Stegostoma tigrinum: one gene and its partner. The main gene of each other region encodes a partner of the protein of the gene in region 2 in a complex. Links are inferred from orthologs where the notes say so. Each region holds a gene or a part of one and is shown on either strand. Other genes may lie near its edges.

Evidence for each region.
Region 1: arvcfb (region 2) and pa2g4a share a complex: the UniProt entries of both Homo sapiens proteins name them as parts of the ribonucleoprotein complex. The link is inferred for Stegostoma tigrinum from reciprocal best matches to the Homo sapiens genes ARVCF and PA2G4.

What each region holds. Positions count from the first base shown.
Region 1 is NC_081404.1:11,536,357-11,543,976, forward strand, and holds the start of pa2g4a (proliferation-associated protein 2G4a), read left to right. Parts: upstream 1-4,239; 5' UTR 4,240-4,285; coding exon 4,286-4,370; intron 4,371-7,620. UniProt on the Homo sapiens protein: May play a role in a ERBB3-regulated signal transduction pathway. Seems be involved in growth regulation. Acts a corepressor of the androgen receptor (AR) and is regulated by the ERBB3 ligand neuregulin-1/heregulin (HRG).
Region 2 is NC_081379.1:6,035,137-6,042,523, forward strand, and holds the start of arvcfb (ARVCF delta catenin family member b), read left to right. Parts: upstream 1-4,116; 5' UTR 4,117-4,164; intron 4,165-4,175; exon of another isoform or gene 4,176-4,808; intron 4,809-5,774; exon of another isoform or gene 5,775-5,799; intron 5,800-7,387. UniProt on the Homo sapiens protein: Contributes to the regulation of alternative splicing of pre-mRNAs.

The DNA.
Region 1 (7,620 bases), on a different chromosome or scaffold from region 2:
ATTGATGCTGCTTTCTCCTCTCATTCTGAACTGGATACATTTATCAATTTTGCTTCCAATCTCTGTTTCAATTTCTGGGGACAGGCTGGCCGTTGACATCCATTACAAACCCAACAACTCTCAGAGTCAGCTTGCCTATATTTCCTCATAGGCTACTTCCAGTAAGGACTCCATACCAGATCCTTCACCTCCTTTGCATCTGTTTTGACATAGCCACCTTCTGTGGTGGGCGGGGTGGTGCGGGGATCTCAGAAATGTCTACTTTTTTCCTCAACCAAAGATTCACAGCTACTGTGGTTGACAGAGCCATATTTGACCCACTTCCTGCATGTCTACCTTTTCCGCTTGTCTTCCCAGCTACAACAATGAGGGGGTCCACCTGGTCCTCATTTACTACTCCACCAGCTACTGGATCCAAAGGATTAAGCTGCCATTTCTGACACCTCTAATGGGATGCCATGACCAGATACATATTACCGTCCCCTGCCTCATCAGTATCCTGTGGGGGCCATTCCCTCCGGGATACTCTGGTTCACTCTTTCTCCATTCCCAGCATCTCCTCACATCCCCACAGCATCTTTCCATGCAATTGCAGAAGGTGTAATACCTGCCCATTTACCTTGTCCCTCCTCGCTATCCAAGGTCCCAGACATATCGTCCAGGTGAAGCAGCCAATTACCTGTACCTCATTAAACTCATCTATTGTATTTGTTGATCACAGTGTGGTCTCCTCTACACTGGGGAGCCAAAACATACACTAGGTGACCACTTTGCAAAACACCTATGTTCTGTCTGCAAAAATGACCCTGAGCTTCCAGTTACCTGCCGTTTTAACACACCATTATGTTCCCAGGCCAACATTTTTGTCGCAGGCCTGCTGCAGTGTTCCAATAAGCTTCAGCGCAAGCCCAAAGAACACCTAATTTTCCACTTGGGCACCCTGCAGCCTCTAGTATTCAACATCAAGTTCGATAACTTTACAGCCTGATTCCATCCTTCCTTTTTATTTTACCCACCCCCACCTGGTACTATTACGACATGGGTTGCCTTTAGCGCATTCATCCATTCTCCCCTTCTCCTAGGCCTACTATCACATTATAGGGGTTGCTTTCAGTATAATTCACCCTTTCTCACCTACATTTAGCTCTTATCACACCAGACCGTTAATGTGGGAGGTTAGGATGCACTTCTATACATAAAAGGTGGTAGATATTCAGAACTGGCTTCCACAAATGGCAGTGTATGCAGGACCATTTGTTAATTTTAAATCTGCGATAAATTTTTGTTAAGCGAATATATTAATGAATATGAGCCAAAGGCAGGTATAGAGAGTTAGGCCACAGATCAGCCATGATCTCACTGAATGGTGGAACAGGCTCGAGGGGTAGAATGGCCTACTCCTGCTCCAAATAGACCATCATCTTACTTTCGGTGGTGGGGAAAATTGTAGAAACAATTATTCAGGTTGGTATTAATTGTCACATGGTAAAATATGGGTTAATTTGGAGGAGTCAGCATACAGTTGTCAAGGAAATTTTGTGTTTAACTAACTTGCTGGAGTTTTTTTGAAGCGGTAATGGAGAAGATTGGTGAGGGTCATGCTGTTGATATTGCAAACATGGATTTCCAAAAGGCATTTGATACAGTGTCACACGACAGACTGGGAAGAAAAGTAATGACCCAATGGAATAAAAGGGACAGTAGCAAATGAGTACAAAATTAGAACACAGAACATAGAACATAGAACAGTACAGCACAGAACAGGCCCTTCAGCCCACGATGTTGTGCCGACCATTGATCCTCACGTAAGCACCCTCAAATTTCTGTGACCATATGCATGTCCAGCAGTCTCTTAAATGTCCCCAGCTAAGAGATAGGAAACAGAGTAATGGTTAATGGATAACTTTCAGTTTAGAAGGTGGATTGTGGTGGAGTTCCGAAGGGGTTAGTATTAAATGCCTTGTGATTTGTATAAATTATCTAGGTCTTCATGTGCAGAGGACAATTTCAAAGTTAGTGGACAATACAAAACTTGGGAGAATTGTGAACTGTGAGGAAGATGACGTCGAACTTCAAAAGGACATTAAGAAGTTGGTGCAGGGGATGGATAAGTGGCAGATGCAGTTCAATGCAGAGAAGTGTGATGCAATACATTTTTCTACAAAGAAGTGGAAGAGGTACAAAAAAAAGGAGTAATACTCCAAAGGGTGTGCAGGAGCAGACAGACCTGGTGTATTTTTGCTTAGGCCTTTAGAGGGATGGAGAGCAGTTAATAAAGCATACTGTGTTTTAGGCTTCATTAATAGCAGCACAAGGCACAAGAGAGGTTATGCTGAATTTATACAAGGCACCAGTTCAATCTTAGCAGGAGTACTGTTCATAGTTTTGGGTTCACACTTTAAAAAGGGTGTCGATGCACTGGAGAGTATACAGAGAGATGTACGTGAATTATTCCAGAGATGAGAGACTTCAGTTATGGAGAAGTTGGGACTGTTTTCTCGGAGAGAGGCAGAGATTTGAAAGAAGTTTTTAAAATCATGAGGGGTTTTGACAGAAAATAGGGAGAAACTATTCCCCCTCATAAGAGAATGGAGAGCCAAATGGCAGAGATTTAAAGTGGTTTGCAAAAGAAGTAAATGCTAGGTGAAAAATATTTTTTCACACAGTGAGCAATTAGAATCTGGAATACACTGCCTGGAAGTGTGGTGGAGGGAGTTCAATTCAGCCATTCAAGAAGGTATTTATGATTATTTAAATAGAAACAACATGTAGGCTATGGGGATAACATAGGAACTTGGCAGTGAGTCAAAATGCAGAGAGTCAATGCAGACACAATGGGCCAAGTGGCCTCCTCTGCACCAGAACAAATTTATGATTTTGTGATGTGAAGGCACAAGAGAGATGCAGAAAATATTTATTTGCAATAACTGTTCCCAGGAGGATAAACTTCATTTAAGAGGATTGATTGGAGAAGCTGGGACTCTTCTCCTTAGAGGAGGTTGAAAGAAGATTTTATAGAAATATTCAAAATCATTGCTGCACAAGAGAAGATGGGGGAAATTGTTCTCATTGAAGAAAGCGTAAGAACTAGAAGACACTTATTTGAGATGGTTGGCAAAACAAACAATGGCAATGTGAGGAATTGGGATTGTTAAATCAAAGAATAAGCATCGAGTCCAGCCATGATCTCTCAGAATGGCATAAGTCAGTGGTCTGAATGACCTATTTTGCTTCTATTTCTTGTATTCTCAGTGTTTACAAAAAGCATTGAAAGGTTTTACTACAGCTGATCTGGTACCTTCCCCAGTACAAATTTGCAATAACTGAGTTTATTTGTTCCAGGATCTGAATCTATGTCCACTCTATAAACAATGTGATGGTGGCACTCTTTTAATGGAACGTCTTCTTGGACATCCCAAAGAAGCAAAATTGTGTTAGTAGTTGGACAAGTGAAATATTTTGATGCAACATAAGTTACTCTATTGAATATTACAACAGATGTTCAAGATGACAGTTCCTACCCTCAGTCGTCAGAATTTTTGTGGTTGTATTATATTACTTGTGTTGCTCCAAAAATAACCTTTGAGTTCCTGACATTGACGTTTTGGGCTTTAGGACACGAGTTTTGTAGGGGTCTGCCACCGGAAAGAAAACGATTGAAAATCACTTACAGAAAGCAAAGGGACACATAACTTTTCGATACATACTAAATGTCACTCTTACAAAGTGGCGACTGGCAAATTAACTGTCACTTGTTTTATTCAGGACATAATACATCTTATTAATGACAACAAACAGGTTCTCTTCTAAACGTTTAAGACGGAACTGCCTGCCACTCTCCTTTAAATGTTCCACGTTATTGCCAGTCAGGCTTAAATTTAAAAAGAACTATCAGTATGAAACAGTGACAATGTTTAAATTGGTCTTACTGTTCGATGGTTGTTCCACTCTTGTACAGGCCATGTACAGTTTCATTGGGGGGGCGGGGGGAGATATCGGGAGGGAAGGGGTGGAGAACAGCTCGATCTTCAAATCTGACAAAACGTGAGGTATATGTAAAAAAAATCACTCGACGGGCAAATGCCTCCTCATTTCGCATGTACTATTGTCGTGGTGCCCTCCGGGAGTTGTAGTTTTACATTGCCCCAATTGTTATCATAAAAACTGGAGACGGCAAGTATATGAGACTACATTTCCCAGGGAGCAGGATGGTGCGGATCAGTGTTGGGAAAGGCGGTGGGCGGGAGGATGAACGCGCAGGCCTGTGGGTAACAGGAGGGTAAAGATGTCGGACGATGAGAGCCAGGAACAGACCATCGCCGAGGACTTGGTGGTCACCAAGTACAAAATGGGTGGAGACATCGCTAACCGTGAGTATGGGGGTCTCTAAGATAGACTGGGAGGCAAGCGACGCTGGGATGGTGGACCCTACAACAGGATCGGGCCTTGTGAGCGCGGTGTTGCCATGTGGGCGCATGGAGAACGGGGAGGCCGCGGCAACAGTAGCTCTGGTTCGAGTTGGCTCGGCTCGTCCAGATGGTACCCCAATCTGTCCACTGCGGCAGAGTGAAACGCGGCGTCTCTTCCCCCACCTGCATCTCCCCAAAACCATCAATCACACTCTGCCCGACCATGAGGAGAAGGGGCTTAAAAAGCCTGAATCTGGCGCCTTATGGCAGCGGCCAGCGTGGTCCTCTGTTCCCTTCCTTAAGAGTGAAACATGCCTTTTTTTTGAAGGGGAATTTTGGAAACGTTAGTTTCTCGAGTTGGTTGATTTTACATCTCAATCTCAATCACAATACAAAATCAGAATACCACAAATGCTGGAAATCTAAGCACTTAAAAACAAAAAAAAATGTTGCAAGTGGTCGGAATTCAAACTTTTAAAGTGGATTTTGTAAAGGGAAAAAAGGAGTTAGCGTTTTAGGTTTGAACGCAGTTCTGATGAATTGATTTGAAACATTAACTGTCTATCTTCCCAGAAGTTACTTCCTCCGTTTTTCCCAGGAATCTTCCGTTTTATTTCTTTCGTGATTTGATCACATTTTTGAAATATTTTTGTTTCTAAGATTTTTATTTTAAGTTCAGAGCTAGGGTGTGCAATTTTAAAGTACCTTGACCCTTTTCCCCTCCGTGTCTCTTGTTTCCTGAAGGCACTGATAACCCCATGCTTGTCTGTGAGCGGTCTTGGGATATTTGACCACATGGTCATCACGTGTGCCCTTTGCGCAAGTGTCTCCATACAAGACCTACAATTAACCTGTATGGTGAATGCTGCTGCGATCAGTTAACATGAATATTTAATTCATCTGTGACCTTCCAAAAAATACTTTTTGTTTATAAATATGCATTATGTGCTAAGGATAAATTTTAAGCTTCCGTATGACTGGTTCTGTAAATTGCATTTCTTCAAAATTTAAAAGGAAACTGGTTTAAGCTGTGTATGGAGCACTTTCAGCAAACTGCTCCAAAAATAATTTATCCAGCAGTCTAATGTTAAGTTGCACCTGTATATCCCACATTGGGAGATAGGAAGTGGCTGTATGGAATCACAGAATTGTAACCTCAATGATTGAACCTGCAGAATAAGTTTTAACAGTTGATCCTGGTTCAAATTTGGTGTAACTGCTAACTTTATAACCCAGATTTGAATTCTAAAGTAATGAATCCTGTATGGTACTGTGAATTCTTAGAGTCATGTTTTGTATGATGTGCCAAAGTTTGTTTTTTTTAAAAATTATTTATGTTATGCTCTAAACAGCATCACAGGCTTGAAATTTGTATCCAAGCTGTAATTCTGTTTAGCATTCCATTGTCTTTAAAATGGTATTTTCATCCTGGCTAGGTATAAAGTTGGAGGTTCTAGGTCATGGAACTGTACAACAGTAACATCCAGCATTTTTCTGAATGCAACAGATTATTGTCTATTAAAAAAAGTGAGATTTCAACGCATTTTGTTCAGATTATTGCAAATTGCCTTCTGGGGATGTACTTCCTTCAATTGCTCTCCTCTGTTTATAATGTTTGCACCCTAATCCATGTGGTAAAATTACAGGTTCAAGAGTTATGGGGATAAGGCAGAAACAGGATACTGATTGTGGATGATCAGCCATGATCATAATGAATGGTGGTGCTGGCTCAAAGGGCCGAATGGCCTACTCTTGCACCTGTTGTCTATTGTTATTTTATCGGTCTGTGGTCCTCCACTTGTGAAAAGATAGCCAAATTTAGCTATGTGTAAGCAGTAAGTTCATTGATGTTGCAGCATCTGATCTAAGGAGTGCCAATATACAAGTGACTTTGTAGACTCCACGGGTCTCTGGCTTGATACTTGGTTTGTGTGGTGCAGAATGTGCACAGAGGTTTTGAAGGGGTCCACAAATGTCTTTGTTCTTTGAAAGAAAGTTGCTCAGTACTCTTTTATCCATTGACTCTCTTGTTGGAAGCATCTATGCATGGATTTTTATAACCAGGACCAGATTGGCTTCATTTGTACAGAGCTCTGCTCACTCATCACTCTTCACTATCATGCAAAGATGGGTCAAATTGGCTTATCATTATCAGAGGTGTGTGAATAATGGCTATTTGACCAAAGTGTCATAAAATATTCTTGGAATTCTAGTCCAGCAGCTTTCATGCGAAGATGGTGTGGGAAGTAAAAAAAGTTAACTTAAATTAACACAGGACAGCTCCCTTGATTACTGAATTAGTAATTGTTTACTGTGATATACAGATCAGAAGGTTCTTAACTTCATTCTTGATCGTGTACTTGTTAACTGATCTTGTTGTGACACCGGTCAGTGAAGTGCCTGAGTTCTTGTGTAGAAAAGCAGCCTATTTCTATTTTTCATTTAATTGTTTTCTGTTTGGTGCTGGTGTCTGTGCCTGAATGCCAGGTAAAGTTAGATTTGACCATAGCTGGCAGTTGGTCAGTGCCCACTGTTTAGGGTTATGTGAAGCGATCACTTGAAGGTAGTGGAAAGCTGCCAGTACTTGAACAAAATGCAACCTGGCAGGAGGGGGGCCTAATTGGCGAAATGTGCCTGGTAATTGAGCAGCTGTTTACAGTGTGGAAACTGAACATTATATTCTGCTGATTTAATGTGCGTGCCAAGCTTGTTCCAAAACTTTTATAGTTGAAGCTAAAATTACTCAACGTGCTCCCTCTGCTTATCTTTTCTGCATAGCAATTATTTATCTAGTTGGCTGAAGTTGCTTTGGGGTGAAATTTATTTTGGGATAAATGTTCTAACAATTGGAGATTAACGTGTTAGAATCTATTGTTACATACAGGTGTTCAGTTGAGCTTGTGGTTTCCAAATATCTCAAAACTAGTTTTCTTTTCAGATATAAGGCTAAATGGATTAGCCCTGGGAAATGCAGGGTTGGGAGGGGTAGTGTGGACTGGATGGGCTTAATGGCTTGTTTCTACACTGGGGATGCTATGATTCAAAATATACATGTTCTTTCGAATAGAACTGAGGTTGTGTCGCAGGATCTATGTGGTTTGAGAGTGAAAGTTTGGTGCAGGTGTTAGATTGGTGTCCCTTTTGATTCAGGTAACATCCCATCAAGGCATTTTAAAATAAGACAAACGTTCTTTGTGCTAATTATCAGTAG
Region 2 (7,387 bases):
GATCTTCCTTATCCCTTATTCTATCCATGTGACATCACTGGATGAAACTTCCAAAATGTCCCCTGTTAGTATAGCTGTGACATTCTCCTTAATCAATAATTATTCCTTTTAGATCCTTCTCCAGCTCTCCAAATGTACCCAAATCCTGGAATGTTGAGCTGCTAGTCCTGCCCTTCTCCCAGCCAAATTTCTGCAATGGCTACCACAACGTAGTCTCATATATTAATCCGAGGTCTAAGCTCATCTGCCTTACATATTATACTCCTTGCATTAAAAGTAAACACAACTCCTGACTGCCAGTCCTGCTGTATTCATTAACTTAGCCCTGTCTCTTCTCTCATTAGACTTATTTCATTTAATGTTGACCTTCTCCTCTATTTTTTCACATTCTAACCCACTACTGTTTCCCCCACCAACCTAAGACTGACAATTGAAGATAAGGTATTATGTAAAATCACGTATGTTAAGTTTTTCTAAGTTTTGCTTAAAATTACTTACAGAATTCACAATTTTAAAAATCTGTTCAGACCAAAGCATACTTGATTCGCATATTGTACTCAAATATAACTGTGTCAAATTAATTCAGGGGTTAACTATTGACAAGGTTGAAAAATTGGTTGGGAATAGGTACTCAAACTGGCAGCATGTGACCAATGGTGTCCCACAAGGATCTGTGTTCAGTGTCAATTCTTCACATTATTTATTAACAACTTGGATAATGGCAAAGAAAGTCATACATACAAATGTGCTGACCACACAAAGTTAGGTGATATTACAAAGGAACTTTGATAAACTAGGTGACTGAGAAAAACTGTGGTAGATGATGTTCAAAGTATGCAAGTTTGAGGTTACGCATTTTGGACCAAAAAAGAATAGATCAGGGTACTTTGAAGATGATATGAAGTTAAATAGAGTGGAGGTTCAAAGAGACTTAGGGTTTAGGTGCATAGCTCTTCACAGTGCCACAAAATGCACAGAAAATAATCAAAAAACAAAAATCGAATGGAATGCTGGCCTCCAAATTTAGTGGAGTGGAGTATAAGAATGCCAACATTATCCTGCACTTGTACAAAACCCTGGTTAGACCTCATTTGAGGTCCTGACAGCAGACCCAGGATCTTCTACTTAGGAAGAATATATTGCCCTTGGAAGGAGTACAGTGTAGGTTTAGGTGGCAGACTTACTTGCCAAGCTGGTGGTTTAGTTTGTAAACGTTTCACCAGCCTGCTAGGTAACATTTTCTGTCTGCCACTGGTGAAGTATTAGTGTTCTGTCCCACTTGTTACACATGTGCCTCGGTTTGCTGGGGTTGTTGGCATTACTTCCAGTTCTGTTTTTCAGCAGTTCGTATGTGTTTGTTGATGGAGTTTCGGTTGGAATGCCAGGCCGCCCTGGTATGTCTGTTTGGCTCGTGTTATTATGGACATGTTGTCCCAGTTGAATTTGTATCCTTCTTTGTCAGTGTGTATTGAAACCAGTAAGAATTGATTGCGTCTCTTGGTGGCTAGTTGGTGTCCGTGTTTCCTTATTGTCAGTTTTCTTCCGGTTTGGCCTGTGTACTGTTTTTCAAAGTTGTTGCATGGTATTTTGTATATGATGTTAGTTTTATTGTTTGAGGGTATGGGATCCTTTACATTATCAGTAGCTGTCGCAGAGTGGTTGTTGGCTTGTGAGCTATCCTGATACCTAGGCATCTGAGTAGTCTTGTGGTTATCTCTGATGTACAGTAGAATGGTTTGTGTGCCTGGCGGTGTTGTATCTTTTTGTTGTGGTCTGTCATGGAGGTAATGGTGGATTGTGCTTTTTGGGTATCCATTCCTTTTAAAAACTCTGTATAAGCACTCCTGTTCTGCATTGCTCAATTCTGGATTGCTGCAGTGTATTGTGATCTGTTTGAATAATGTCCTGCTGCAGTTCTGTTTATGGCTGTTGGGGTGGTTACTGGAGTAATTGAGTATCCGGTCCGTATGTGTGGTCTTTCTGTATATACTGTCTAGGAAGGGTAGTCAGTTATTGTTCCCTCCTTGTTTTGTGAATTTTATTCTGGTGAGGATCTTGGCTAGATGTCAGTGAGTTTTTTTTAGTCTTGTGCATTTGATAATCATGAAAGACTGAAGATGTTGGGACTGTTCTCCACACATAGATGAAGACTTAGAGGGGATTTTATAGAGGTTTTCAAGATCATGAGTGAGCTGGACAGAGTAGACAGGGAGAAACTTACTCTCATAAAAGGAACTAGAAGAAGAGAGCATAGATTTTATGTGATCTGCAAAATAAGCAAAGATGAAAAGAGGAAAACTTTTTTTTCCACTCACTGAGTCAATGGTATGGAAAATTTGGAAGTGTCATGGAGGCAGGTTCAATTGAATTATTCAGGAAGGCATTGGATGATTATTTGGATAAATATAATGTGCAATGGTGAGGGGGAAAAGCAGGAGATTGGAACTAGGTGACGATGTTCATTTAACAAGATACTGCAGGTACTCCCTCCTTCCACACCATAACACTTCTGTAGTTCTGTTATAACATTATTAGAAGCTTATGAAAAAGAAACAAATAGGACAGCCTTATTAAAAGTAATTCCGCAAATTATTATTTTATTATTTAGTACCTATTACAACACAAAATCTTCAGCATCTTATATGGCAAACAGATTTATTTAAATATTCTTCTATTATTAGTGCAATCAGACATACAATCGCTTTCACATTTAACAGGAGGTTCATACAGAAATATTTTGATACCCCAGGACTGTGCTAGTCACTGGACTTGAAACGCTAACCTTGCTGTCTCTCCACAGATACTGCCAGATTTTGATGCCCAGCATCCACAGTTTTCTGTAACTTATTAATTGCCCATTCTACAGTAAATTATTAAAAGATTGTCAGACTGCTTTGAATGCTGGGACAGTCCAACATCCACTGTTTATTTCGCCAGGAAAGCAAACTACAACTCTCAGGCAAGGTCAACAAATAAAGTTTATATTTCAAGAAGGATAGCACAATGCATAGCTGGTACTTAAACATATATCTCTAAATTGCTAAACTGTTCCTGTCATATGAGTAGACAACTCTAATCAGAAACACAGGTGGATGAATCGAGGTGCAACGAAACAATTCTCTGACCTGCAAACCTAAAAATGACATGTATGCAATAAATTAAATCACAAGGAGGAATATTTGTCGTAACATTCCAACGTATCAGCTGAAGGCTACATATTTACAAAAGGCAGGAATATACCTCGTCCAATAATTGATTTTAGAAGACCCTGAAGGGGCTGTCAAGAAGGGGTGACTCAGAACGTATAAGCTTTCTGGGCCCAGAGAAGAGAGACACAAGGTGCCAGACATAATTTTAGCAAAATCAAAACCACACATTGCGAACTTGGTGATAACTGATAATCAGTGACAGGTAACAATATGAAAAAGTACTTACTCTTACCTTGGATATTACGAGCACCTGATTTACCAACTTAAACATCTGTGGCGTTGATCATTCCTCAGCTCTGCAGTCCCTTCAACAACAATCAAGCCTATTGGTGCAGAGCGCTTTACGAACAACTAGATTCTCCGCCCTCCTCCAACAATGATTGGTTAGTCTTTACAGAATCTGTTTATCTGTGTACGGCGATCAATCTCATGTCTGTGATAATAGGAACTGCAGATACTGGAGAATCCAAGATAATAAAGTGTGAAGCTGGATGAACACAGCAGGCCAAGCAGCATCTCAGGTGTTCCTGAGATGCTGCTTGGCCTGCTGTGTTCATCCAGCTTCACACTTTATTAAACTCATGTCTGTATTTGAACTGCTCATCTTGAAAAGGGGGCGGAAGGGAATTCAACATCCCGCCTTATATGAGATGTAATTGGCTGAGGTGGGACAAAGCACGCCGAACTACCTCTGATTGCTTTTCATGCACGTCAATCATCACCGACGGCACCCAACCTGATGACGACTGGCTATTCACGCTGCCAATTATAGCGGCTTTCAATCTATTGGGCATCATCTCTGTCAGTCATTGCTTTCGCGATCGTGATTGCTGGAATGCCGCGGTAAGGGGGCGTTTCTGGGGTGGTGGTGTTGTGCTATTCGATGTGAGGGAGAGCGTGCGGTTTCGTCGACTGTTCACCACAGGAGGAGGAGGAGGAGGAGAAGGAGAGGAAGGTGCGGGCGCAGAAGCGGTCTTGTTAGCTGTGATTTGAAGCTTTCTGTTTTTTTAAAGCCACTATTTGAATTATAAGAGATTCCCCTACTCCCTTCCGCCTTTAATTGAATATACTTCAGGTCGCGATCTTCCCTTCCCTTCCCCCAACCCCTTCCTCTAGGCACATTAATCCGGGGAGAAGTGAGTGGCTTGAGGACAAACTCTGCAGCAGGTCTGTTTTTCCTCAGGAAAGGAGGTGTAATAAACCCTTTCAGATAAATCCTTTTTAGAAGAGGGTGGGGGAATAAAATAGGTTCTCGTTTGCTGCAATTTTTCTTTTTGTAGCGTTTTTGCCTCTCTTGTTCCCCTCCGTTACACGAGGTGGGGAAACGAAGTGGAAGATTTTTATCTCTCTTTTCACGCGCCCCCCCCCCCGCATTAGTATTTCAAAAACACCGTTAAGTCAGGCCGAAAGGAGCAGCAACACCACAGAAAGGAAGAGGCGGGCAACGCTTTCGGCTGTTTGTTCTGGTGGAAGAAACGTTTTTTTTCGCGATGAGTGGTCTAGTAGAACTTAAACAAAAGGTGTTGTAATTAATCTGTCTGGGACGCCCTCCCCGGTTCGAGAAGGAAACCTCTCCTAAACTGGGAGAGCCGATCTAAGGTATGCCATGAACAATGCCATCAAGCCCATTTCTTCCAATTTCGTGTGATGATTTTCGAGAATGGCCGAATTATGTCTTGAACGTTTATTTTGTTATTTTCATTTCGAGATGATAGCATCTGGCTGTTTATATTAGTGGATTGCATTAATTTCCAGCTACCTGTTACGGATCCCTATTTTTGCCAATGATTTTCAAGAACGCGAACGAGGACAAAAAGAGGAGAAAGAGCTCCTGTTGTGGAGCACAAATAGGTTGAGTCCGAATCATGTGAAACTTGATCATTCACAATTATATATCTTTTAACCATCTTTGCTTTTCTCTATTTTGCACTTTGGACGGCTGTTCAAATGTATTTAGCTTGAGGATGTTGTCGAAATCTGCAAGGCGAAATTATGCTGTGATATGTTGAGTTTGAATTATTTGGGAGTGCAGTCAAACCAGTTTTTAGGAGTCATTTTAATCTTGCCAAAATGTGCTTGCTTATTCTGCGGTGGTAAGGTGTGATTTCTAATTTGATACTACGACATTGGAGGAAATTCGTTAGCGTTGAAGATACAACAAATGGTTCGCTGGCGACCCGTGCATTTCTAGCCGTCTGGTGACCTGTCGTGGTTTGATTTTTCTCTACGGAGTTATGAACTGAGGAGTTTGTGGTCTAAGTTTTCGTGTGCTGACTTTAAATGTCAGTGGTAATTATTTTGGCAAAGAAGTAACATTGAAATTAACACGATTGTAATAAATCTAATTTTGCGACAACTCGTGGGATCGATTTTAAGATTTAATCTTTTTTGGGGAATACTGTCTTGCAGTTCTTTTGTACCGTGTTTAATTCTAGAAATGTGGTTATGTAAGAACGTGGACTGTCATGCTTTACGTTATTTACAACTTTCAATGAAAACGGACTCCGCCTCTGTTATTTACATCATGCAGTTTGGACTGAGAACATGTTTTGTTGATCTTGGCAGGTGGACACTTTGCAGACGTGAAGAGGTAGAATGTCATTCCGTTGCAACACGGACACGTATAGGAATTATGGAACGCAGGACAGAGAATGTCTGGTTTCAGCGTTTTTGCGTGGGGAAAGTGATTTGTATTATTTATTTCCGGGCCGTAAACCTTGTTCAAACAACAAGGTGTGGAGCTGGATGAGCACAGCAGGCCAAGCAGCATCTTAGGAGCACAAAACCTTGTGCGAATGTCTGGTTCAGCGTCAGAAGTTTATTTGATGTTCTTGGGAAGCACCGAGACTGCTTTTTGCTAAGTCCGAGTGCTATACTAATGCAATTATTGTCGAATTCATTGAAATCCTAGTCTTTCCTAATAGTCACGTCCTTAACGATTTTAGGATGTCCTGTATTATTGTGATGCCAACAAAATATTTTTGAAATGTAGTCACCAAGTGAATGCGTCAACAAGTTGACTGCACGATGGTACGATCGGCAGCGATGCAATGGGCAATTTAAATCGGTTTGTTTGAGTAACAAATGTAATGTAGCGTACAAAGGAAACTCCGCACTCTGGTCCCACCGGATTTTGTTCCAGACATTTTCTTAAAAAAAAGTCAGGTCCTCAGGTCGAAAAAAAAGCCATATCCTAGCTCGACTTTTCCAGCACTGCACTGACGTGTTGGCCAGGATTTTGTACTTTAAAAAAGTTAATTGGCAGTTGAACATACAACCGTTTGACTTTGACATGAGTGCAACCAGGGGTTTAGAAATTTGGGAGGCACAAAGTTGGCAATCTTGAGGCCTGAGATCAGATTCGATCATGCTCGTTGCTTTTCATGCCGAAGGTATAGGAGGAAGAACTCCCCTTTTGATGTATTTAGAAATGCACTTGTGATACCAAGGCATAGGAGGATATGGGCCATGTGCTGGAAAATGGGATTAGAATAGTTGTGGTTATTTTTGACTGCTGTGGATGAGATGGGCCAAAGGGCCTCTTTCCACACCACAGCTGTCTGACCCAATGAGTTAGGTGGGAGCACTTCAGTCTTTCAAAACTTAGGGTTTCTGTCATTCTCAGAATATTTGTGAAATACTGCAAGTTGTCTTGTTTATCCACACTAGAGTAAATGGCTGTTAGAACAGCCTTATTGATGAAAAGCAGGATGCAAGAACAATTCTAGTTTGTCGTGATAAATTGCTTAATTATCTGCTTTTTAATCTCTAGACTCAACTGTCTGTTTTACCACTGTTCTTGGAAAATGTTGTTTCATTCAACTGAGATTAGCAACATGTAAATGATTTCTACCTGAAGTTTTCAGACTTGTTCAAGACAAATGTGTTCAGATGATTTGCTATTTCTGTACCTTGGGGCCAATGTATCATCCATTTGTAGTGATAGGCTCAGACAAAATTCTTAATTTTCAAGTAGAAATGGTAGTGGTTGCATTGAAAAGCAAATCCACTTGGCTTCCTTAGACGTGGTGTGTACAGCATTGTTGAAAGTGCACCTGTTATTTGTTGATTGGGTTGTATGAGGAGCTCAAGTTGGTTAAACTTTCTCCCTCTTTTTTTATTTGAAAAGTTTGTCTCTCTCTTTGTGCTATTTTTACTGCATAATAACACTGGCTGGT